Linked DNA regions of Canis lupus familiaris. The protein of the gene in region 1 binds, or shares a complex with, the protein of each later gene. Links are inferred from orthologs where the notes say so. Each region holds a gene or a part of one and is shown on either strand. Other genes may lie near its edges. The genes, in order: SMARCA5, RSF1, MYBBP1A and DEK.

Evidence for each region.
Region 2: SMARCA5 (region 1) and RSF1 share a complex: the UniProt entries of both Homo sapiens proteins name them as parts of the RSF-5 ISWI chromatin-remodeling complex. The link is inferred for Canis lupus familiaris from reciprocal best matches to the Homo sapiens genes SMARCA5 and RSF1.
Region 3: SMARCA5 (region 1) and MYBBP1A share a complex: the UniProt entries of both Homo sapiens proteins name them as parts of the B-WICH complex. The link is inferred for Canis lupus familiaris from reciprocal best matches to the Homo sapiens genes SMARCA5 and MYBBP1A.
Region 4: SMARCA5 (region 1) and DEK share a complex: the UniProt entries of both Homo sapiens proteins name them as parts of the B-WICH complex. The link is inferred for Canis lupus familiaris from reciprocal best matches to the Homo sapiens genes SMARCA5 and DEK.

What each region holds. Positions count from the first base shown.
Region 1 is NC_049236.1:43,059,607-43,065,145, forward strand, and holds the end of SMARCA5 (SWI/SNF-related matrix-associated actin-dependent regulator of chromatin subfamily A member 5), read left to right. Parts: intron 1-1,829; coding exon 1,830-1,937; intron 1,938-2,659; coding exon 2,660-2,725; 3' UTR 2,726-3,915; downstream 3,916-5,539. UniProt on the Homo sapiens protein: ATPase that possesses intrinsic ATP-dependent nucleosome-remodeling activity.
Region 2 is NC_049242.1:21,200,233-21,206,556, reverse strand, and holds part of RSF1 (remodeling and spacing factor 1), read right to left. Parts: intron 2,842-6,324; coding exon 1,076-2,841; intron 1-1,075. UniProt on the Homo sapiens protein: Regulatory subunit of the ATP-dependent RSF-1 and RSF-5 ISWI chromatin-remodeling complexes, which form ordered nucleosome arrays on chromatin and facilitate access to DNA during DNA-templated processes such as DNA replication, transcription, and repair.
Region 3 is NC_049226.1:30,730,366-30,736,689, forward strand, and holds part of MYBBP1A (myb-binding protein 1A), read right to left. Parts: intron 5,584-6,324; coding exon 5,408-5,583; intron 5,319-5,407; coding exon 5,151-5,318; intron 5,029-5,150; coding exon 4,911-5,028; intron 3,827-4,910; coding exon 3,531-3,826; intron 3,326-3,530; coding exon 3,215-3,325; intron 2,865-3,214; coding exon 2,739-2,864; intron 2,618-2,738; coding exon 2,450-2,617; intron 2,362-2,449; coding exon 2,256-2,361; intron 1,314-2,255; coding exon 1,217-1,313; intron 1,115-1,216; coding exon 963-1,114; intron 697-962; coding exon 616-696; intron 543-615; coding exon 393-542; intron 320-392; coding exon 143-319; intron 60-142; coding exon 1-59. UniProt on the Homo sapiens protein: May activate or repress transcription via interactions with sequence specific DNA-binding proteins. Repression may be mediated at least in part by histone deacetylase activity (HDAC activity).
Region 4 is NC_049256.1:18,345,180-18,351,503, forward strand, and holds part of DEK (protein DEK), read right to left. Parts: intron 4,732-6,324; coding exon 4,630-4,731; intron 4,372-4,629; coding exon 4,262-4,371; intron 3,049-4,261; coding exon 2,954-3,048; intron 1,956-2,953; coding exon 1,835-1,955; intron 1-1,834. UniProt on the Homo sapiens protein: Involved in chromatin organization.

The DNA.
Region 1 (5,539 bases):
ATGAATGTGATGATCATAATTTAAGATTTGCATTTTTCAGATAATTTTGATTTTCTTAAATGAACACATTTCTATAAGGAAAGAACTCATATTCAGGCATTTGCCTTTCTGAATGTGTTGAGTCTGGATTATTTTATTTTATTTTTTTATTTTTTATTTTTTTGGATTATTTTAAAATAGCTTGTAGTAAAGCACTTTTTGTATGGTTTAATGGTAGGTTTTGTTTCCATTCTCAATACTAGGCTATTTGTGATAAGCAAGTTCCATTCCTAATGACCAAAAGTTATAATTCAGGAAAGTTTAGCCTCCATGAATTGCTCTTTTTATTACGCATTTTACCACTTCGGAGGTTTTAACTTCCATCTTGTGTTCTTTAGGGTGATAGTACCAAAAATATTCTATGGTCCTTATTTGGGATATATTAGGATAAGCAGAGTTTAAACATCTTTATATAGTGAGATTTCTCTAAGTTTATTTAAAGTATGTTGTTACTCTTCAAGATGGGGGACTGTGCACAGTCTTTTCATATTTGACCACTGAAGGATTATTTTTCACTAAACATTAACAGTGGCTACTCTCTTGTGTATTCTTGTTTGGGAAATGTTGCACTATAAAGACATTATAAATAAAATTTGAGGAAAGACCAATTCCTATAGCTTTATCTTTTTTTTTTTTAATATTTTATTTGTTTATTCATGAGAGACGGGGGGTTGGGGGGAGAGAAGCAGAGACAGAGGCTGAAGGAGAAGCAGGCTTCTCTGCAAGGAGGCGGATGAGGGAATCAATCCTGGATCCTGGGATCATGCCCTGAGCCAAAGGCAGATGCTCAACTGCTGAGCCATCCAGGTGTCCCCCTATAGTTCTGTCTTTTGTCTTTAAGTGGGAACAATTCATACAGTTAATAAGAAACAAAATGCACTATCATGTTGATTTACCAGTACAGTACAAACCAGTACCCAAAGCTGTTATTTCCAAACATGTTTCATTTTAGAGCACACATAAAATATGAGATTATATATGTGCATGGCCCCTTCTGATGAACACTTAAGGCATAATCCTTGCCTGAGATCACATCTGTAACATTGTGGCATGTATGCCTCAGTACATTTGTTAGGTATAGAATTTTGATGTAGTGTATTACCTTTTATCTATATTATGTTGCAAATATTTCCAAACGTTGTATGGTGTATTCTGTAACCGTATTTTAAAATGATTTTGTTGTAGTTTGCATAGGTCATTTTTTTTTTTTTTTAACAAGAAAACCATTTTGCTTACTAAGTCAGCAATGATGCAAATGTACTTCTCTTTTCTTCAGGGTCATATGCTAATGCAGCACTACACTTTATACAGCCTCCACAAAGGATTTCAGTTGACTAGAGAGAGATGATGTAGATATCATCATAAACTTTTACATGGCTATTTTTCCAAAATTGGAAAAATTCTAGTTAAGGGAAAGATGACACTTTACACTTCTTAGTAAAGCTCTGGTTCCTTTAGTTTTGGATCTATAGGATAGTTCTCAGGTATAGGTACTAAGTAGCAATGTGGCATATATTATGTTAATTTTCACTGGTTGAATTTCTTTGGGAAAGAAGGATTTATGAAGATGAAAACAGTGTGATTTTAAAGAATGTAAAAACATCGATATCTTGATTTTCATAGAATGGATTGTAATCAGTTCTTTTGGCTGTTCTAGATTTTATCTTTGGGGAATGTATGAGTAATTCTATATTATACAATTAAAACGTTATCATTTTAAAACCTTGGTATCCTGAAAACTTGTAGATGGATATACATGTTTACCATATAAATTTATATTTACAATTCAGGAGCTCCAGAGGAGGTGTAATACCTTAATTACCTTGATTGAAAGAGAAAACATGGAACTAGAAGAAAAGGAGAAGGCAGAGAAAAAGAAGAGAGGACCAAAACCTTCAGTAAGTATTCATGAAGATATATTTTCTTTGTAAGAATTTGAACATTATGTAGCTATCAGTAATGTGTTTGTCTTTATGTTATGAATTGTTCTTAAAAGTATAAATTTGATTGCGTTGTGTAGGGAATACATTACGATGGTATTCCGTAATTTGGAGATTCTTGAAAATCTGGGGAAGATATGTCTTATGAATGCCATGAGCCTACAGTTGACCTTGAGAGTACAAGGTGTAATTTTAGAATATGTAAAGAAATATTAGGAAAGCAATGGTTTTACAACCTTTACTGCAAACTTTTAAGGTTTGGTTTATGTCCCAGTGATATTCTTAGCAATGTTAACACAGATATTTTAAGAGAATTAAAAAAAGGTCATCTTTTTATTTAGTAATAATTTAGAAAGTCATGAATAAATGAATGCCTGAGTAATGTCTGGTATTTATGTAAAACCTCATTAAAATAATTTAGTACTGCTTTCTTTTGGTATCAAGGCATGTTATTGTTTGGTGTATTGGTTTACTGTTGTGTATTGCAAATTATTTAATTGGCATTAAAATTTTTGTGTTCATTAAGTGAGTAGACAAGATTTTGGAGAATTAAGATTATTCTGGGTAAGAAAGTCTAATACTTATTACTATGTAGCAGTTGTTAAAGTAAAAAAGAGTCCACGTATTTTATCTTTAATATTAGTCTTGTGATTAAAAGGAATCTTTCTGTTCATTTGTAGACACAGAAACGTAAAATGGATGGAGCACCTGATGGTCGAGGAAGAAAAAAGAAGCTGAAACTATGAATACATATTTGTTTCATAATCACTAACTTTAAACCAGTAGTTCTTTAATTTACGGGTCTTCATAAGATGTACTGTACAATACTCAATTGTTATGTCATTCAAAGACATCAGGTTCATCTGTTTACTAAGCTAGAAACATAGTATGTAGTTTCACTTTTTTAAATGCAACAGCTGTGCTGAAATTTTTTTTATCATTAACACTTGAAGTAATAAAACAGGCTTCATTTATTAATAAATGTTTCATTTGATTTATTTTTCTATTATAGTTCCATTTGTGAAGATTGTGATTTTTTGTTTTATCAGCTATAATTTCTACACCCAGAGCTTAAAAAACAAGCAAACAACTAAAAAAAATTGCACAAATAATATTTGTCCTTTGGTCTTCACTTAGTTGTGTAATTGTTTTAATTCACTTTGCCTTTGCAGAAATTTGGGTATCTTTGTAGTGCTATATAGAGTCTCATCTGGGAAGATTATGTAAATTGCATTCTCCTTGATTATTATATGGGTAGAATGAAACAAAAGGCAAGACAAATTATCATTAAATTCTATGCATATATCTGTTACGCTTTCTGTTTCTGTAGTTGGTTCTGAGGTGTGAATATGCCCTATTCTGTTGGAAGACTGGCTGTTTAGTTGTATAGCCAAAGACATTTAGTATTTTCTGGTTCCGTAAAGTGTTATTGTACCATTTTGTAAAAGGAATATTAATTTTAATTGTTTGGTAAATGTTTTGACAAATTACCTTCTTGAAGCAGCCACAACTTAGAAAGATAATGTCAAAACTAAGGTGATTTTTTTTTTAAAGACCAGTCAAAATAAGGTATGGATTTGTCATACTGTTAAATTGAAATTGGTAACAGAATGTATGTCCCCTTCCAGTTTGCCTTTTTTGAGTTTTTAGAGTAATTGAAAATTTTATATTTTAAAATAATTTTTAAGTGTGAATGGCAAGATTGAGTATAATAACCGGTTTTTATTTTCTATGGACAGACTTGATAAACTGGAGACCCTAAAGCCGGATTACCCAAATTGTAGTGTCAGGTTTTTAGCTGTACCAGAGGCCTTTATGTGCTACACATAATTTGTATAAAGTTTTATATGTGCAAATTGGGTACATAAACAGTTCTCCATTTTTCTAAGGGAATGCAATAAATGTAGCATCGTGAATAAATATAACTTTTATAATCCTTAAGTGGTCTTTTCTTTCCATTTTTTTTCTCATTTGATTTTTTATTTTTTTCCTTAGAACATTATCTCATTCCCTTAGATTTCTTCTAAAATTTCTATTACTTGTCAATTGTCTGCCCACACATAATTGAGACTTTATTTATAATGCTGATTTCTAAAGTATTACTAATACTGCTTACTTTTCCAAACTGTGGAATCGTGGCTGTGTTAAGCAAAATCCAGTGTTTATGGCAAGTTGTAATTTGAGCTTCCTTTTCTGCTTCCCCTAAATGACATCATTTTAACCTTGGATTCTGGAAATAATTGAGTCCAGTGTATGCAAAATTTGAGGAATAGGGAGTACTCTTAAGGGTGGTAGCCTAATTTTAGAAGAAACACTTGGAAAAACAAGGCTGAAGAAAACTGGAAGTCACCAAAGCAATGTTTTCAAGAGGTGGGGAAAGTAAAAAAAGCCATAGAGTGGAAATGTGTTAAAGAAATCAAGCTTAGGGATCCTTGGGTGGCGCAGCGGTTTGGCGCCTGCCTTTGGCCCAGGGCGCGATCCTGGAGATCCGGGATCAAATCCCACGTCAGGCTCCCGGTGCATGGAGCCTGCTTCTCCCTCTGCCTGTGTCTCTGCCTCTCTCTCTCTCACTGTGTGCCTATCATGAATAAATAAAAATTAAAAAAAAAAAAAAAAAAAAAAGAAATCAAGCTTAGCCCTTGAAAGCTCAGGGACTCGAAAGGGAAAGGGAAACAGTTAAAAAAGCAGGAAAGAAAAACAATATCCAAATTTTGCATTGTAATTAGCCAATGTATTTCTTTTCCACATGTCAATTAGGATATTATTGCATATTTAAGAAAAAAGCCATGATTCTAATGATACTGCTAGTTAAGGAAAAATTAGCCAAAAGTAACTTTTTTTTTCAAAAGTAGCTTTTTAAAAGAGGAAAAATGGTAGAGAAGATAGGCTCAAAATTGGAAACCGATTTCGTTGATACCTCCTCCTCAACTGAAAATAGAGGATATCCATCAATATGTAGCATGCTATTTGAAGCCAACCTAGAAGAGACTAGGTTTACATGGGTGGCCAGGGTCACAATAATCCATTACCCAGAATATTTCATTTAAATTTAGTAAGGTACTATATTAGTTGTTGGAAAGGTTATAATTTATTGGGAAGATATCCAGGTAAAACTAGTAAAATAATCATTACTTTCAACTTCAGTATTTTAAATAGTAAGTAGAACCTTAGGGAAAAGAGATAATGGAAGCTTTCCCAATGGCACACCTTTTAAAAATCCAGTACATTTCAAATTTATATAGTAGACTTAGAGTGTGGTTATTTTTATAGCACTACTTGCATATGCTCATGATGGTGTTAGTTTTACTTAGGAAATCTGAACTAAACAGCCCTAATTGGGAATTTATGAACCTCTAAATGTCTTCACAGGATAGAGTTTAGTGTGATGGATATATGAGAAATAGCAATATTTTGATAAGTTTTTGGGTATCTAACATTTAACCAATTAACCTACCAATTTGGTGATTTCAAGTTTTTCCCCAAATAGAATTACACTCTTTAAATATTACAAAGGTAAAAATACACCATTTTTTAAGAAAAATGCTTTTATGCCCTTAGAG
Region 2 (6,324 bases), on another chromosome or scaffold:
CCATCAATGATCAAAATAATTCTAACAACAGAAGGGGAAAAATTTTTTTAAATAAAGAAATTAAAAATTCAGTATTTCAGGGAACAAAGGATCACTTACAATGAAGAAGTGATCTGATCATTTAAATAAATTAAAAATAAAAGTAGCACTTTTAATTTTAACAAACTCCTATAAGCTAGCTGTATACTTGTACAAGATTTTGCTTAAAATAAAAGTCATAGAAAAAAGAATTCTGGCTTCTAAGACTAATGATTAAAATAGGGGAAGAAGATGCTCTCATACACGGTAATGAGAGAATATACTAATGGGGCCTTTTGGGGAGGCCAATGTGGCAATAGCTACCAAAAGTTAAAGTATACACATGCCCCTTGACCCAGCAATGCCAATTCTAGGAGTCTATTCTAAAGAAATACTCACTTATGTCCAAAAGGATCTTCAATGCAGCATTGCCTGTAATAGTGAAAAATTGGAAACAACCTAAATGTCAATCAATAAGGGAGTGGTTAAATAAGCTGAGGTACATCCACACTATGGAATACTATGTAGCCATCAATAACCAAAAGGTAGACTACATCTACTGACATAGAAAGAATTCAGACACACACTGATAAGTGAAAAATTCATAGAAAAATGAACACATTTATCTTTTAAGTGAACGGGTAAATATTTATGAACATAAATATGAATTGGAAAAAGATGTGGAAAAAGAACTGGAAAGACATGCATCCAAAACTGTTAATAGTGTTTACGTGACATTTTGATTTTTCAATCCCACAGCTTGAGTATTATCTGCATAGTTTACAAAGAGAACATATTCCCTGTAATAGAGAAAAAGTTTAAAAGATGACAAGATTATATAGTCTGAAATTTAATGTCTGGAATACTAGTGAGAAAAGATATCTCAGCTATAGGAAGAAAGATATATATATATATATACATATATATATATATATATATACACACACACACACACACACATATATATATTAAAGTTCTCTTTAGCCAAAACCAAGAGTCACACTTAGGCCCAATTATTTCTAATAAAAATTAAAGCTCAGAACAGGAGAAATTTTACCTTGCTTACTTTAGAATTCGTATCCTTCTCTGTTTTTTTCATATTTTCTTTTTTGTCTGCTTTCTGCAAAGCTGCTGACTCTTCTTCTACCTCATCTTCTCCTTCTCCTCTTTTTTTATCAGCTTTCTGATCTCTGATCTCAGCCACTTTTGCTGTGGGTCTTGATATTCTTGGAGATCTCCTTAAAGTACGACCCACATTTGTTTTCTCTTCTTCCTTTTCTGTCTTCTCTTGCTTGGTTTCTTGTTCTAGAATTTGGGGAGGACAATCTGGCTTTTTCTTTCGACTGGATATCCTAATTGTTAATTTGATGCCCTCTTTCTGCCTTTCAGAGGTTATCTCTGTGTTTTCTGAGGCAGTGGTTTCTTCCTCAGGAACCAGCTTATATTTAAATTTGCTTTTTTGCACAGAACTCTTTGCCTCAGAAGGATCTTCTGTGCCAGAGGTCTGGGCATTGTCCAGATTATCCGTTTCTACCTTTGTGGATTCAGAATCCTTTTTTAGAATTTCTGGGTCTGTTTTTTCCAGGGGCTGACCTTCTGTGGAACTTGTGTTCTGACATTCTACCACCTCTTTTTCTGAGGCTAACTTCTCACAGTGGTCTGTCATGTTAGACGGTGCTGAACCTTCAGCTGCCTCTGGAGAGACTGGCTTTCCTGATTCTGGAGTATACTTTGGAGCCTCCTCTGGTATTGGACTCAATCTTTCTGTGTCCTTCTCAAGAAAAGTCTTTTTGGACTTCTCTAACTTTTCAAGACATTCTAGGACTGGTGGGCGCTTATCCTTTTTACTTTTGGAAGACTTCTCGTCAACTTTCAGGGTACAAGATTCAGTGGCAGATAAAGAGGTTTTCAAAGAGAGATCTTTTGCCATCTCAGAAGACTCAAGAGAGATTTCCATTTCCAGAGGACCAGTTTCCTCTAACTGCCCTTTTTGACTCTGGGGCTCTAAGATTAATATTGAACTATCTGCATCTTTCCCTACAGGGACCACTTCCTTCTCAAGATCGCCTATTTTCATATTCGTTATGACAGAATTTAAGGACTCTGCTCCATTTCCCTCTACGATGACACTTCTATCTTTAGATGGGCTACAGCTATCTTCCTTTGTATCACAAATCCTTGTCTCCATTTGTTCTGTCTTAAAATTTGAAGTTACCTTTTCATCACTAACTTCTCCATTTACCAGTTGTTTCCCTTCATGACCCAAAATAGTAATCGTAGAGATCCTTTTACAAGTCTCTTCCTCTTGCTTTATTTCATCTTTCAAAAACTCTTTTGTTGGAGTAACTGATTTACACAAAGGTCCTTTGATTGGACTGTCAAAATCATCACTCAGTTTAATTTCTCGTTTTTTTAGGGGTATCTTGGCCTGCTGGTCATTTTTAAGTTTTTCGGTTTCTTCAGTAGACTTCTCAGTGATTTCTTGAGAAGATCTAACATTGCCACCAAATTCCAGCCTCTCTGGCTCTAGCTTCTCCATGCTACCTTTGATATCTTTAGGATCTGCTCTAAATTCCTTTACTTCGACTTTAGTGGGTTTGACATTTTCCTTGAAGGAATCACTTTCTTCTTTGATAATCCTTTTTTCCTCACTTTCTGGCAAAGGTTTTTCTAGCTTGACTATGACTGGCAGTTTGACAAGTTCCTTTTCATCTTCTTTTTCTATTTTCACAGTAGCCTCTTCCAGAGCACTGGGTGTAGAACAGTTTTCTGAATCTACTGGCTGCTCTTCACTTTTCATCTTCTCATTTTCCTTCTGTTCCTCTACAAATCAGGAAAAAATTTACATAAATCTAAGCATTTAAGATTATAAAATACAAAAGGCTAAATATAATTGATATTCTCAATTGAAATTTCCCTCTTAAAAAAGGTGGCTTGTCAATGGACATTTGATCAAAAAAGAAACAAAAACCAAAAAACCAAACACTCCAAATCTGACGGTGAAGGAAATTACCAAACCTGAAGCACAACTTCTAAATATCAAAAAATGGGTATTCAGAAAGATTCAGGTTTCTGCTTTATACTTTTAGCTTCAGTGTTCCTCAATGGAATGCAAATGTTTATACAGTTCAAATAATTTATTCAAGCTCAAGTGATGGCTCAAAAATGTGAACTAAAAATACTACATAAAACATTTCCAAAAGACCATATTTGTTTTAAAAACTGACAAATGTTCTTCCTTGCAAGTCACTGAGCACTTCATTTCATTGAGGTAGCACGAGCATGGGAAAATGTTTGTTTTATGCTTTATACAGATTACTAAAAGTAACACAATTCTGCACAGAAAATGAAACATATGCCCACAAAAAGAATAAAAGGTCCATAATCTTAATACCCAGAGGCAGCCACTATTATTATTTTAGGTTACTTCTAGTCCTGTATATTTTTAACAAAGTTGGGATCATGTTGCCCCATTTTTTTTTCATTGAAACATTACCACTATCTTATGATATTTAATGCCTTTTAAGAAATCAGATTTAATTATATAGCAGTCCTCAATGTGGTTGTATTAAAATTTACTTTATCAAATGCCATAGTAAAATTTCAGAAGTTAATATGTTACCAACTATATACATTTATCATCAATTCTTCTTTTTACCTTAATTGGCTATGTATTTCCAACTTTTATAGAGTACTTAATAGTGCAAAAACCAAATCTGGTAAATAGCATAATCTTTGTGATTTTTTTTGCATTAAAAAAATTATTTTAAGTAGGCTCCAGGCTCAGCCTGGAGCCCAATGTGGGGCTGAAACTCACAACCCTGAGATCAAGACCTGAGCTGAGATCAAGAAGAGTTGCATGTTTAACCAACTGAGCCACCCAGGTGCCCCAATAACATTACATTTGAATGGGATTACACAGATTGCACAAACAATATAAACCAGTGCTCAGAGAATCTAAGCAGAGCGTTTTCACAGAATTCATTAAGTACTAATTTTACCTGTATTTCCCATCACTTCACTATATCCCTACAATTGAAAAAAACAGCTCTAAATGGAATTTTACCAAAGTAGTAATTTTTACCAAAAAAATTGCACACATTAAACCAAATTGATAAACTAGAGTTATAATGTATTTCACAGGTATAAAATGGAATAAAAGAGAAGGGAGATGAATCAGGACATGTTTTTGAAAATAAGAACGCAACATCTTTAAAAGAGTAAATATTTTAATTACAAACAACTAGTTCTTTTACTTAATTCATGTTGCAAATATACCATTCAAGAACCACTAAGAACCACTCAGAACCTGAAACAGGAGGTCAGTATTGCTCTTCACTCTTTACATTGTCAATAATTTCATATATGCATGCCACTAAGGAAATTAAAGACATGACATTAATGATCTAATTTGTGTTTTCTCCTTCCCACTGAAAAAGTAGCCTTAGTAAATTCCTGATCATTGAGATCAGTTAGCACATCAGGAAATCTAATTAAATGAATATCTTAACAATTAAAACACTGATTACCAAAAAAAAAAAAAAAAAAACCCACTGATTACCATTTTAAAAAATAACTTCAACTTGTAAAAAGATCATTCAGTTATATATAAGCATTTTCCTGAAGTTTTCTTAAAAAGAAACTGTAAAAGAAATGCAAATGACTTGAAGAGATATAAAATCTGAAGAAACTTTTTTTTTTTTTTTTTTTTTTTAAGAAACAAAACTTAAGGTAAAACTTACTTCAAAACTCACATTGGAGCAGCAACACTGGTTGGCAAACTTGAGGTAATCCAAGAGAAGTATTATCTACCATAGGTTTTTATTTATTTTTATTTTTTTTTTAAAGATTTTGTTTATTTATTCATGAGAGACACACACACACAGAGGCAGAGACACAGGCAGACGGAGAAGCAGGCTCCATGCAGGGAGCCCAATGTGGGACTCGATCCCAGGTCTCCAGGATCAGGCCCTGGGCTGAAGGTGGCGCTAAACCGCTGAGCCACCCGGGCTGCCCTACCATAGTTTTTTTTTTTTTTTTTAATTTTTTCTAATTTATTTATTTATGATAGTCACAGAGAGAGAGAGAGAGAGAGAGGCAGAGACACAGGCAGAGGGAGAAGTAGGCTCCATGCACCGGGAGCCCGATGTGGGATTCGATCCCGGGTCTTCAGGATCTCGCCCTGGGCCAAAGGCAGGCACCACCCAGGGATCCCCTACCATAGGTTTTTAAAGTGGATTCACTCACCTACTCAACAAATATTTACTGATTACCTATTATGTGCTTTCCCAACCATCCCAACCACAATCTCTATGGAATAAAACACTGACTATCCTATAAAAGTTAACTGTAAAGGACATTGCTAGGTATCTACCCAGTATAAACATACCTTTTATTGGGCTTCACTTTATTGTACTTTCCAGATACTGCATTTTGTTCAAATTGGAAGTTTGTGGCAATCTTGCATCAAGCAAGTCTATTGGCACCATTTTTCTAAAAGCATTTGCTCACTTCATGTCTCGGTCACATTTTGGTAATTCTCACAATATTTCAAACTTTTTCATTATACTACGTTTGTTACAGTGATTTGTTATCAGTGATCATTTGATGTTACTATTATAATTGCTTTGGGGCTCCACAAACCACACCCATTTAAGACGGTCAACTTAAAATTGTGTGTGTTCTGACTACTCCACCAACTGACCAACCCCCCCATCTCTCCTTCTCCTTGGGCCTTCCTATTCCCTGAGACACATCAATACTGAAATTAGGCCAGCTAATATTTTACAATGGCCATTAAGTATTTGAGGGAAAGGAAAAGTCACACATCCCTCAATTTAAATCAAAAGTTAGAAATGATTAAGCTTACTGAGTAAGGCATGTCAAAAGCCCAGACAGGTCAACAACAATGCATCTTATACCAAATAGCTGGCCAAGTTGTGAATGCAAAGGAAAAGTCCTTGGAAGAAATTTTAAAAGTGCCACTCCAGGGATGCCTGGGTGGCTGAGCAGTTAACCGTCTGCCTTCTACCCAGGGCGTGATCCTGGAGTCCCAGGATCGAATCCTGCATTGGGCTCCCTGCAGGGAGGCTGCTTCTCCCTCTGCCTATGTCTCTGCCTCTCTCTCTGTGTCTCTCATGAATAAATAAAATCTTTTTTTTTTTTAAAGTGCCACTCCACTGATCACGATTAAAACAACAACAACAACAAAAACAGAAGCAAACAGCCTTTATTGCCAATATGCTGAAAGTTTTAATAGTCTAGACAGAAGATCAAACCAGCCACAATATTCCCTTAATGCAAAGG
Region 3 (6,324 bases), on another chromosome or scaffold:
TCCAGGACCAGTGGGTTCTCGGGCTGCTTGGTCACCAGCACCTCGATCAGGTCCAAAGCCTGTGGCCAGCATAGGCAGGTCAGCAGGTGTGGGGTGTGCATGGGAGGTGGGACACGGTGGTGCTGGCAGCTCTCTGGCTCACCCGGATCTGGAAGTCTCGCCGGAGCACCTTCTCCTTCCGCAGCTTGTTCTTCTCATCCCTCCGGGCCTGGATGCGCAGCTTCTGCTCGGCGAAGAGGCTGGCAAGGCTCTGGTCCAGGGCCATCATGGCCTCATCCCCCAGCTCGTCGTCATCGTCATCCTCACCGTCCACTGTGCCCTGAGGAAGAGGCCCGCTGAGCGGCTGGCCGCTGGTGTGGACGCAGGCCCTCCCACCCCAGCCCGTGGCTCACCAGGGCCTTCCCCGCCTGTAGCACTGCCATGAGCTGCTCCCGGAAGCCCTGGTCCACATCCCCGTCCCGGTCCTCCTCATCACTGTCTTCCTCATCGCTGTCCTCCTCGCTGGCTGAGTGTTTGTCGTCCTCACTCTCCGAGCTCTTGTCCTGCAGGAGCCACTGTATTGCACCGCCTGTCGCCCACCACACATCCGCCTGCCCCACTGTGCCCAACACGTACCCCCTCGCTCTCCAGCTGCTTCTCAGAATCGTCCGTGACCACCACGCTGTCCTCCTCTGGGCTCTGCTCAGGGTTCAGCACCTGCAGGTTCCCCAATGGCCAACGTGTCTGTAGCGCAGACGCTTCCCCCTCCCCTGACCGGGCCCTGTCCAGTCTGGGCCAAAAGGCTCCTCTCAAGGAGGAAACAGAGCCTGGGAGAGGAGGCCACACTGAGACCCCTGTGGCCCCCGGGGGACCACCTGCACAGAAGTGGTCTGGGTTCAGGCCCCTACCCGCTCTGCGGGTCACGGTGAGGAGGCAGCCACAGGGCTGGGAGAGTCCCATCCAGGCCCCATCTCCCCACTCACATCCAAGATCAGCTGCAGAGCACGTGGCGTCAGGTGTGAGCAGATGTGGCTGAACACGGTCCGGGCCACCTGGCGCATCAGGTGGCTGGGCTGGGCCAGGAGGGCCAGCAGGATCTCCACCAGCACCTCCACCCACGGCGGCTCCTGGGGGTCTGCAGGTGGGACAGCTGAGCCTGGGCAGGTCCCCACCACCCCATTCCACGTCCACAGGAGCCCAGGATGTGCCCTGTCCCCACCCCAGGGCTGTGACCCACTGGCAGCCTTGGAGCGAGTCCGGCGCGTCTTCTCCCCTAGGCTTTTCTTGATGCAGGTCTGGATGTCACCCAGAAGATCGCAGCTCTCCACAGGGGACTATGGGAGGGTGAGGACCAGGTCAGAGGCCGGCCCCACCCCCAGCCTTGCTGAGCCAGGGGAGGGGCCAGTAAGGCGGGCGCAGTGGGGGGAGGCACAAGGCCCAGGTCCCTCACACCCAGGGCAGAGGACCCCGGGGGCCGCGGCTTTTGTACCACATGGGGCCACAGGGCCTGGAGCCCAACGTCCCCACCACCACCTGGGGGCGACAAGGCCAGCTGGGTCAGGGGCTTGGACCCCCAGCACTCATTACTTTGAACGAACTCAAATCCAGTTTTGCGCCACCTTGCTGGGGTGAGCCCAGACCACAGCCTCCACCGGGGACTGGGGCACCTGCATCGCCTGCGTGGCCTCTGGCACTGCAGAGGAGCCCAGTGGGGGAAGACATCTGGAGATGCTGCCATGGGACAGGCTGGCACCAGCACACAGGACATGACCTTGGGGCGTAGAGCCCCAGGCACACCCGCTCACCCCAACCTGCCACTTGGCTTCTGGTGGGTGAGGTTCCAGGACAGGATGTCAGGCCCTCACTCCTCGGCTGACAGCAGACAGAAGTGCCCTGAAAGCACCCCATGTGCCACGACTGCCCACAGCAGGCCCCTCCCCATAGGCCATACTTTCTCCTGCACACCCGCCACCTCCGCTTAGGAAGGCAAGTCTGGGGGCCTTTGTGGGGCAGGGAGTCTGACCCCAGCGTGAATCCCAGGCAGCGACTGTGTGGTTACTCTGCCTGGAGTTCTGCACCCCCGCCCCCAGGCCGATGGGAGCAGCACCTGCCACAAAATCATGGGGGTGAGACACGCCGCGTAGGAAGCTCAGCATCCGAGGGGGCCGGGAAGTGGATGCAGCAACTCTTCCCTGGGCTGCAATTCGACCAGGGCCGACTGGCCTCAGAAACTGGCCACACGACTTGCACAGCCTCCACCCCACTCACCACCGTACCTTGAACAAGTAGACGCCCACCAGGAAGAGCAGGTGCTGGAAAGCACTGGCCTTGGCCTTGGCCTCTGGGGGGCAGGCGTCCAGCTCCTTCAGCGTCTGCAGCATCCTGGGGTGACATGGGCATGCTCTCAGGCCACCATCCCCCACTGGACCTCAGGTGTCCCACCTCCCCAAAGGCAACCACGGCCCCTTACCGGTCCCAAGCCTGGCGCTGCTGTGAGCTGAAGGGTGTCAGGGGAGTCACATTGCGGCTGCGGTTCAATAGCGAGTCCGCGAATTGTACCAAGCGGTGGGTCCAGGGTGGCCGGTCCTGGGTGGGCTCTGGCGCCTGCCTGAACTGCGTGCTGAGGGTCTGCAGCAGGCTGGGCAAGGATGGGGCTGGGGTCACAGACCGGGCCGCCCACACCCTGACCTGCTGGAGCTCACTAGGCCTCTGTGCTCTCCAAGCCAAGAAGCCCCCCACCCAGCCTGCCCGCAGCCCACCTGAAGAAGGCACTGCTGACCACCTCCCGGGTCCGGCTCTCCAGAGGGAAGGAGAACCGCTGTTCGGTCTCTGGAATCTGGGATGTAGGCTTCTTTGTTTCGAAGAACGAGTGGAAGAAACAAAACCTGGAGAGGGTGGGAGAGCCAGGGATGGCCGCAGCCCCCTCCCAGGAGGGTACCACCCAGCGCCCAGGGCCAGTGGCAGCACAAGGAACGTTTCCCAAGTCTCATCTCCAGCCTGCACAAACAGGCTCTGCACACAAGGGCTGCCTTCTTCTGGGACCATGGTGAGGGCTGCAGGAGACCCCCTGAGACAGGAGGCCAGTGTTGGGGGCCCCTGCAAGGGGTACGAGTGGCCCTCCAGTGCTGACCCAGCCCCCAGGCTTCAGGCTCCAGGGAGACCACACCAGGTCTAGGACCAGACAAAAGGCCCATTCTTGTCCCCCGTGGGGTGCGGGGGGCAGAGCCTGCCCTACCTGGCCACCTCCTCAATCACATCCTCCTCCTTCTCTGCATGCAAAGCGTCCACCATGCTGACCAGGCGAAGGATGACCCACTTCCGCAGCCGCAGCACAGCACGCTCAGGCCTGGTGGGTGGGAGCCAGGTTACGGGAGCCACTCAGGTTCTCTGCCCCCCACCCTGGAGACTGACACTAGCTCCTCCAACCACAGCACAGGAACACATGAGGAAACCCAGACCCTGAGTTCAGGGGCTCCCCTGCCCTTCCCTTGCCCTGCCCAGGCCCCGCGGGAAGGAGGGCTGAGCTCTCCTGGCTCCACTTGGCCACTCACACGTGCAGCGAGGCATCCTGAGCTTTCTTCTGGCCGCTGGTGCTGAAGTCCACCAGGGAGTCCAGGTCAGGCCGGAGAAACATGTCCCGCAGCCAGGCCACGTAGCCCTTGAGAGCAGGGGCACTCAGGGATCGCACAACCCTCCAGAACGTAGGCAGGACAGGGAGGCCCTGGTTGGTGACGCACGTGAAGGCCACCACCACAGCCAGCTGCCGCTCGGGGTCATCCCGGCAGCTTTCCAGGAAGGCACTCAAGTACTCGTTCATCTCCGGAGCAAACTTGAACTGGTTTGGGAGCTGCGAGGAGTCAGGCCCAACATTGGGGTCACCAGCCAGGAGGCCCACGGCCCCGCCAGCCTCTCCCCAACAGATGAGACTGAGGCCTGGGAAGCCCAAGCCCTGTATGCAGCCAGGCTGAGCCACGCTGTGGCCCTGACGCCATCCACCTGCTCCTGCCCCAGGTGGCCCTCCGCCCACTCTCACCTGCTGTACCTGACAGGCTGCTTTCTAGGCCCAGGACGGAGGAGCAGCGGAGCAGGGTGCAGACGGGCTATTCTATACTCTGACCAGGTTCAAACCCCACATCTCAAGCACCTGGCTATAGTGCTATGGGGCTCAGCACCCAGCAATGCCCACGGGGGCACCACAGCCACGAGGCTTTGGGTGGTGGCGGGTTTCACGTTCATGACAACCCTTCACACTGGGCCCCTCGTGGCATCTCACAGATAAAGAAAGCGTGGCACAGAAAAAGCTGGCCACTAACTTTTCAGGGTCATGGAGTTCCAGGTGGTGCATCTGGGACATGGAGCCGCCGATCTGGCCTCCCTGCCCCACTCCGCACAGAACAGAAACCCACTATAGGGATGGGAGGTGAGGACAGCCCCCCAGGAGTACTTCCTGGGCACCGGGGAAGCCATGAGCGCTCTAGGGGCTCTAACCCTATCACATTCACAGCACCTAAGAAAGACACCGGTCGCAACAGAGGCGGCAGGCCCAGGCCGGGGGAGTCAGCCTGGCTCTCTACTCTGAACTCCTAACCAGCACCTGATTCCCCCATCCAGTGCGCAGTGTAGCATGGGGCCATGCACAGTGCTCAGTATGTCAGGGACCAAGATGACTCTCCCCATTGACACCAGCTGGGGACGGGGGAGGTCTGGGTGGGCCGCTGGCCACACGTGCCTCAGCTGAGGGGCCTGAGACCAGAAGGACTGACCTGGCCAAACCACCACCAGGTGGAAGGGACACCCAGTTCCCCAGCAAGACCACCGAGGTAGGAAGACCAGGATGCTGCAGCAAAGAGCAACGTTCTCGAGAAGCTGACCCAAGGGGTGGCCTGCCCCTCCTGGCAGTGCTGGGCTGCTGGGGGAGGGGGGATACCCACCTTAGCAGTGACCATGTGCTCCCCAAAATGCCGGATCAGGTCCCCCTGCATCACCAGCGGCAGCTGCTCCTTGGACAGCAGGGGCAGGGCAGTGCCCAGCAGGCGGAAACATAGGTAGCTGAGGGGTGTGCAGCAGAGCCTGGTCAGAGCCTGGGCCACACCAAGTGGTGTCTGGGGCCCCGAGCCCACCCCACCACCGAACAGGAAAGGAGGTGTGCAGAGGACAAGCGCCACACGTACCTGGCTGGCCAGAACTGCTTCTTCAGCAGCCCCTGCTCCACAACTTCCTTCCAGAACCATGGGAACCTGCCCTCCTGAAGCGCCAGGCGGAGCAGGTCCAGGGCCACAGTGGGCAGCTTGCGTTCTTTCTTCACAGAGGCAGCTGCCGTCTTCAGGACGTTCACCAGTCTGCGGAAGGGATGGAGGGAACTCAGGGGGCACCGGCCAACCAGACAACAGGGTCCCTGGGGGAGCCCATCCTCCCACATCCCTCACACCTGGGGATGTTCTCATCTGAGAACAGGTTGACGGGTCCTATCAGCTCCTTCAGCTTCTCAGGCACCTTCTGCTGGGCCAAGAGGAAGAGCTCCAGGTGCTCAGGGGAGCCCAGCACCGAATTTAAGTCCGCCTTGAGGACTTTTGGCAGGATCTCCTGCAACACGGCTTCCGGGACCTGGGGTGGGGACACAAGTTGGAGTGGGGGTGGTGGCAGCAGCTCCCCCAGCACCCTGTGTCACCTCTCCTGCCATGTAAGCCCCACGGGCTGTTCCATCTGCCTAGGGTCCCATGAGGTCCCGACAGTGCCAGTCTGGGGTGGGATAGCCACAATCCACCCTGGCAGGCATCAGGATCGTTACATGGTACCGGCTGAAAAGCTCAACCTCCCCCACCCCCCAGTCCCAGGATTCTAGTAACTACCTGCTGGTGCTAACTAGCTACTTTTAAAATTATTCCTCTCGGTTTTTTTTTTTTTTTCAGGAGTGGCTCATTTCTTACAGGAGGTAAATGGAGAGCTAGGACTTGGATTCAGGTCCTTCTAGCTCTGGGGCCAGGGCTATGCCAGTCCTTGCCTCTTCCTCAAGAGCAAAGGGTTCTAGATACGAGCACACCTCCATTTCCCAAGCAGGGCGAGGAGTCCTGGGGGGTTCCTCTCCATCCAAAACAACACATTTAATGTATTTGCCACATATTAGGTGCTATTCTAGGACTATATTGTCCAATGTGGCAAACACTGAGCTCTTGGAACGTGCTAACCTGACTGGAAATGTGCCATTAGGTACAAAACACACAACAGACTCTAGAAACCTGATGTGAAAAGAACATAAAGACACTCTGCACGTTTTTACACTTTGTGTTGAAATACTGCTCCAAGTACGTTAGACTAAACACCTATCTGTGACATAGCTCTCCCTAG
Region 4 (6,324 bases), on another chromosome or scaffold:
ATCAAAGGAGAATATCCATAATTATCTCAAAGTTTAAAAAATATTTCTTTTTCCTAACTATATACTTAAGGCTGATTTTCTTTACATACTTCAAGCAAAAAACCAGCATGTGCAATATATTGAAATGACAAATGAGAATAGAGTGGTCTTCTCTTAAGTCAGACATGAAGAGACTCACAAAAATAAAAATACCATTCTCTTGATTTTTCTGGTGTATTTTTAATACCAAAAAACTCACTTTTTTTGTATGAAAAATAACTGTTATTTAAAAAATTGTTTCAGTTTTAATTTACACTACAGTAAATATCAGATTATCCCATATAAAAGCTTCTGGAGTCCTCATTAATTTTTATGAGGGTATCAGGTCCTAAAACCAACAGTTTAAAAAGTCATTGAGGAGACGCCTGCCTGGGTGGCTCAGTGATTAAGCATCTACCTTTGGCTCAGGGCATGATCCTGGATTCCCGAGATCAAGTCCCACATTAGGCACCCTGCATGGAGCTTGCTTCTCCCTCTGCCTATATCTCTGCCTCTCTCTGTGTCTCTCATGAATAAATAAAATCTTAAAAAAAAAATCAATGAGGAAAAGAATATAAACATATCCCTCATAACTTAATAATGTCTTCTGGAGAAATGGTATTGTTTGTCACCTGAAATTCTAAAGTAGAGGTAAAAGTTTAGGAAAACAGATAATCTCTCATCTTTAAGCCAATTCAAAACACACAAAGATTCACCATGGCCCTTGGGTTTTTAGCTGCCTGAGAACTGACAAAAATACCCTTTATCAGTCTTTGTCCAGTTAATGGTAAATTAGACTACCAGCAGATAAAACCAAAGTCCCAAGGGTACCTGGGTGACTAGTCGGTTAAGCATCTGCCTTCAGCTCAGGTCATGATCGCAGGGTCCTGGGATCAAGCCCCATGTTAGGTTCCCTGCTCAGCGGAGAGTCTGCTTCTCTCTCCCTCTGCTTCCCCATCCCTAACTGTGTTCTCTCTCAGATAAATAAAATCTTAAAAACACCCCTAAGTCTCAGAGCTATTTTCTGATTCTAATCCTTAAGGCCCCTTCCACTCACTGATAGTATTCCCCTGAACTCCTAAGTCCTCTAGATCTCTTCATAGTTTCTTTGCCATGAAAATGAGGAAGAATATGAAAATATTTACTGACAGACTTCAAACAGAAAATGTAGGCTCCTGTAAGTATTACTTCAACAGACATTTTTAAGTCAGTGATGTCATTTGTTAAACAATTTGGGCAAACCTAATCTAAATTTCAGAAGAATGGGGGAAAGTATAAGGCCATTTTACTTCCATGTCCAACTCCTGGGCTCTGCTGATTCTGGAAACCCAATCCAAGAAACTTTTAACATTCCATTTTGTTTTTTATGTTGTATTTTCATAACATTATTCCAGTGTCTAGAAAACATCCAGTTCTAATGCACCCCATCTTAATCTTACCTGGACAATCCAACACCTCACCCTCAACTCAATCTGTTTCTGTTCTTCCAATGCCTTCTATATATATAAATAAGCCTGGATGCTTAGTTTGTATTTGTCCATTTAAGACTAATCCAGTTAACAATTACTTTTCTTAATCTTACACCATTTATATCTGATATAGGATACATCTGCATGGATTCTATGTACTTCTATCATGAAAATGTTGCAGATATATCAACAAGGGCATATCCTTTAAATGTAGAAGACAATACTGAATATTGACAATGCTGCTAACAAACTAAATCATTCCATTAAAAGAAAGTAAAGAAAGGCTACAAATAATTGATTTGTTACTGGAAAAAAAAAAAAAAAAAACAAAAAAAACTGGTCCTCACTTTGCCAGAAGGCTTTGGATGCATTAAGAAATTCAAGATCCTCTTCACCAGTTCACTATTTACACCCGATCTCTCCAAATCAAGAACCTCACAGATGCTCTTTAACATGGCATTTCTAAATCTAAAACAGAAAATGAAAGAAACAAAGTTTATTTATTATGTAGCATATATTACCCACAACATAAACGTAACAGCTAACCAAACTGGCTTGGGTAATAAGCATTAAAAAAAAAAAAAAAAAAAACACAAAACAAAAAAAACCAATGTTTCTCCAAATCTAAAAAGTTCTTCCCTATTATCTTGACTAATGTACAAAATACAACCAAATATAATAAATTGAAAACACCATTTACCAATTAAGTTTTAAAAGTAGTAGAAGAATTAACTAGGTCAGACCACCTAGGTGGCTCAGTCGGTTAAGCATTGGACTCTTGAGCTCAGCCCAGGTCTCAGTCCCAGGGTCATGAGTTCAAGCCCCATGACGTGTCGAGGCTACTTAAAAGAAAAAAAGTCAATTCAACTAGGAAATACTGTAAAAAGTTTTCAGTACTCTAAAATTCATGGATTTGACAATTCTTCTGGTGATTAAATACTACATTTTCCCCTCAGCACTCCTACTATGACATTTTGATGAACAAGTAGGTAATCATCTTCATTATTTGTAACTCTTAAGTTTTAGATGATTTAACAAATAAAAGCTCTTAATTTATCATCTGGCTTGCATTATGATGAAGAACACTGCTCCTATCAAGTTGATTATCTTCACAACAGTTTAAATGGTCCCTGTAAGTTGGGGGAACAGAGTGGCTGGCAGAGGACAAGAGTGGGAGAGTTTTTTCAGTATATTTCCCTTAGGCCTAAATTTTGGACCATGTGAACAATTTGTGTATACAGTTCTCCTAAGAAATAGAAACATCTTTAGATGTGAGTTTTCAATACTCTTAACAGTCACTAGTGGAAAGTAATGAACATCACAAGTTGATAGCTATGAAGGAAAGTCAGATCTTGGTATTTAAAGCAAAGCATTAGCAGTCTGCTAAAAAATGTTTCAATGGTCCTATTTAAATGTTAAGAAATAAAACACACTGATCAAAACACAATACTTTAAAAATAACTTACTTTTTCAACATTTCTTCCTTCTTTTTATACTGGGCACTTCCTTTTTCAAATGGAAAGCCACTGAACTGACCCACATTCTTCTTTAATGAGGACACCTGAAAACGTTTCCCTTATTATTAATGCTATTACCCGGTAATGTATGTAAGAAAATTCAAAGCCAACATCTTTATTTTCATAGCTGTCTCCCACCTACAACACTGGTTTATTCAACATTTCTTATTCACAACTGAAAATGGTATTTGTTATTAAAATAGTAACATAATAAATGCTTTAAGTTCAATCCTTAAAGATAACAATTTCAATCTGAATGAATTTCCATCTGGGAATTTTTACTGGCAATTATAAAACCACAACTAAGTGTTATCTGACAATACCAGAAGATGTGGAAAGTTACTTCTTAAAAAACTCCCGTTTCTTAATACAAGTTACTAGTAATATTTCTCAAATCAGAGAGTCATGTATTTTATTCTTTGAAAAGAACGGAGGACCTCCAAAAGTTAATACCACTTAGCAGTCATAAGACTTGTGTAAATCAAGGCAGCCTGGGTGGCTCAGCGATTTAGCACCACCTTCAGCCCAGGGCCTGATCCTAGAGACCCCCACGTCAGGCTCCCTATAGGGAGCCTGCTTCTCCCTCTGCCTGTGTCTCTGCCTCCCTCTCTCTGTCTGTGTCTCTATGAATAAAATAAATAAAATCTTAAAAAAAAAAAAAAAAGACTTGTGTAAATCAGATTGCAGTGACGATCACATGAAATAACACCATGCTTCAGACATTCAATTCTAACATCAAACTTCACTTTGCCCACGTACAATCCAAAGTTTACTCAATTATACGAAATACTGAAGTTGTGTGTACAGTGTAATTCAATTAATGCAATACTGATTTGTTCTAACAAGTTCCCTGACAAAGAATTACCACCTAATTTATCAGATATTTGCTCAAAATGAGATAAATTATACTGTATCATTTATTCTGAATAAGTAAAAACATCCAAAAAATAAATTTCTTCTAATGCATTTAAAGATCCCTAAAAATCACATTTCGGATTTCACATTTTGAAATTTCAGTTTGGCATAAAAACAACTATAGTACAAGCCTAAATGTTATAATCCTAACTGCTGATATTTAATTATGTATTCTACATATGATAAGTCATTTTATATGTCTCAGTTTGTTCACTTGTATGGTACAGAAATTGAACCACTGGATTGCTTAAGTCCCTTCCTGAACTAAAATCATGCTTTAATTGTAAAGTATTTCAATACATAAATATGTTACTAGGTTAAAGATATAAAAAAGGTCTTAACTGTGCCTGGTCTGTTGTAAAGCAGTTTATGTAGATTTCTAAGTTCATCTGTTTTCTTTTTACTCAGGAAGAAATGTATCCTCTCAATTTCACAAAGTTTCTGCCCCTTTCCTAGGGAAAACAAAACAAAACAAAACACCATAATAACTAAAGTTAAATGCCCAGCATGTGTTAATACATACAAAGTTATTTTAATCACGATTATTTAACAGCCAAATTTACATATAGCTTTTGCTGAATAGGGCAAACTAAATAAAATTATACCCATAATATATAATGACTTCGTAAACACTAAAAACTGAACACTGACCATTTTATTATATATTTAGTCATTTTTACCATAAAATGAAAAGAACAGAATAAACTTACCTTGTGCAATTGTAAATGGCTCTCTCTGTAAGGAAGAGACTTGCATGGTCAATCTCTCTACTTTTTTCTTTTCCCTCTTGCCTTCCACGATGAGACTCTTTTCTAGAAATTAATTGAATATTTCTTAAAACAGCTAAAAGCTTAAAAAAAGTATTAACTCTACTGGATAAACATGTAGAAAAAAACTGCAGAACTCTTTAATACCTTACTCTTTTTTTTTTTTTTTGAGTAGCAAAAAAGTACCTTACTCTTTAATTTTAAGAAGCAAATGATGAAAGAGAAATGAAAATACATAATAAGTTAACATCACTTAAGTTTTTTTTTAGAGTAGCATTTTACTTACCTGGCAACCTCACAAGGGATCCAGTTTTTTAAAAAATCATAAAGGAAATGAACTTTTACTGAACTACAATTATTGCTAATGAAAGTGCCAGTCACTTTATGAAAAATCACCAATGCCCCTCACTAAGCCTGCTCTTTAATTAGACCTAATTCTGTTGATTGAGATTTAGTTTATGGTACATCAAACAGCAAGTTTAAGACTGAGATTATAACAACTTCAAAAACATAGAAAAGCAGTAATTCAGTAAGCAGATGAAAGAAAAACGAAGACTTTAGCTAAAGCAGAGCAGCCTGAGGTTGCTATAAATAGGGTAAAATTCTCCAAGTTTACATTTACTGCAAGTGACTAGGAGGACATTACTTTTAGTTTGGTAAATGTTTATAACAATGGTCATAAATCATTCTAAAAAAGTTAAATTGTTTATAGTACAGACTGCTTTTATTAAAAAAAAAAAGGCTAGAAGATAAACAGCATTTACTTAAAAACTTAAAACACTGAGCTTAAATTTCCAAAACAATTTACCTACTGAGATAAATTCAGATAAAAGAGGACACTATCACTGAAGGTCCTTTCATTCATTCAACTGAATGCCAGTTTTGTACAAAGCTTCACTAGACACTAAGGGGGGATTGAACAGATGGTCAAGACACTGAGTAACTCTTGAAAGAGATCATGTCTACCGGTGGTGATGAGACACAACAAACACACTCCAAGCAGATGATAAAACACCTTAGGCAATCTACAAATAAAACAACTCTGAATTGAAGAGAGTCATTATTTTTGGATTAAGGAAAAAGGATCAAAACACTGGAGCTGCCTTTGAAGGATAGGTAAGATCTGGAGATGGGAGGATTTGCACAGAAGGAATTAGGAAGGATAAAGGGATTCTAGCAGCAATGGCAATGGTGTGCAGAGTGAAGAAAATGCACTCTAAAGCAATCCCTGTGATCCTGCTACTTCCTTTCCCTGAGTGATTTAAACCTTTCGCTCACCTGTTTACCACGTACAAGCTAATGACTTTCCTGATTCTCTCCACTCAAGAGCTTCAAATCAGCTAGGAGGGTCGATAAATGGACAGCTCCACTTCATGTCCTGTAGGCACCTAACTCTGCATTCAAAACAGAGGTCGTACTCCTCTCCAACCTTGCTCACCTTTGACAATTCTAGTTTTCAGAAAACTGTAGTAATGTCAACTCAGTTGCCGAAGATAGACACCGAAGAATCATCTTTTACCAGCTCCTCACCCACCGCAGTCAAGACAATCCCACCTTCACTAGGAACAGACTACACTGCCTTGTTTCTGTGATGCCTAGACAGCAGACTTGAATGTTCAGGGCTAACGTAGGATAAAA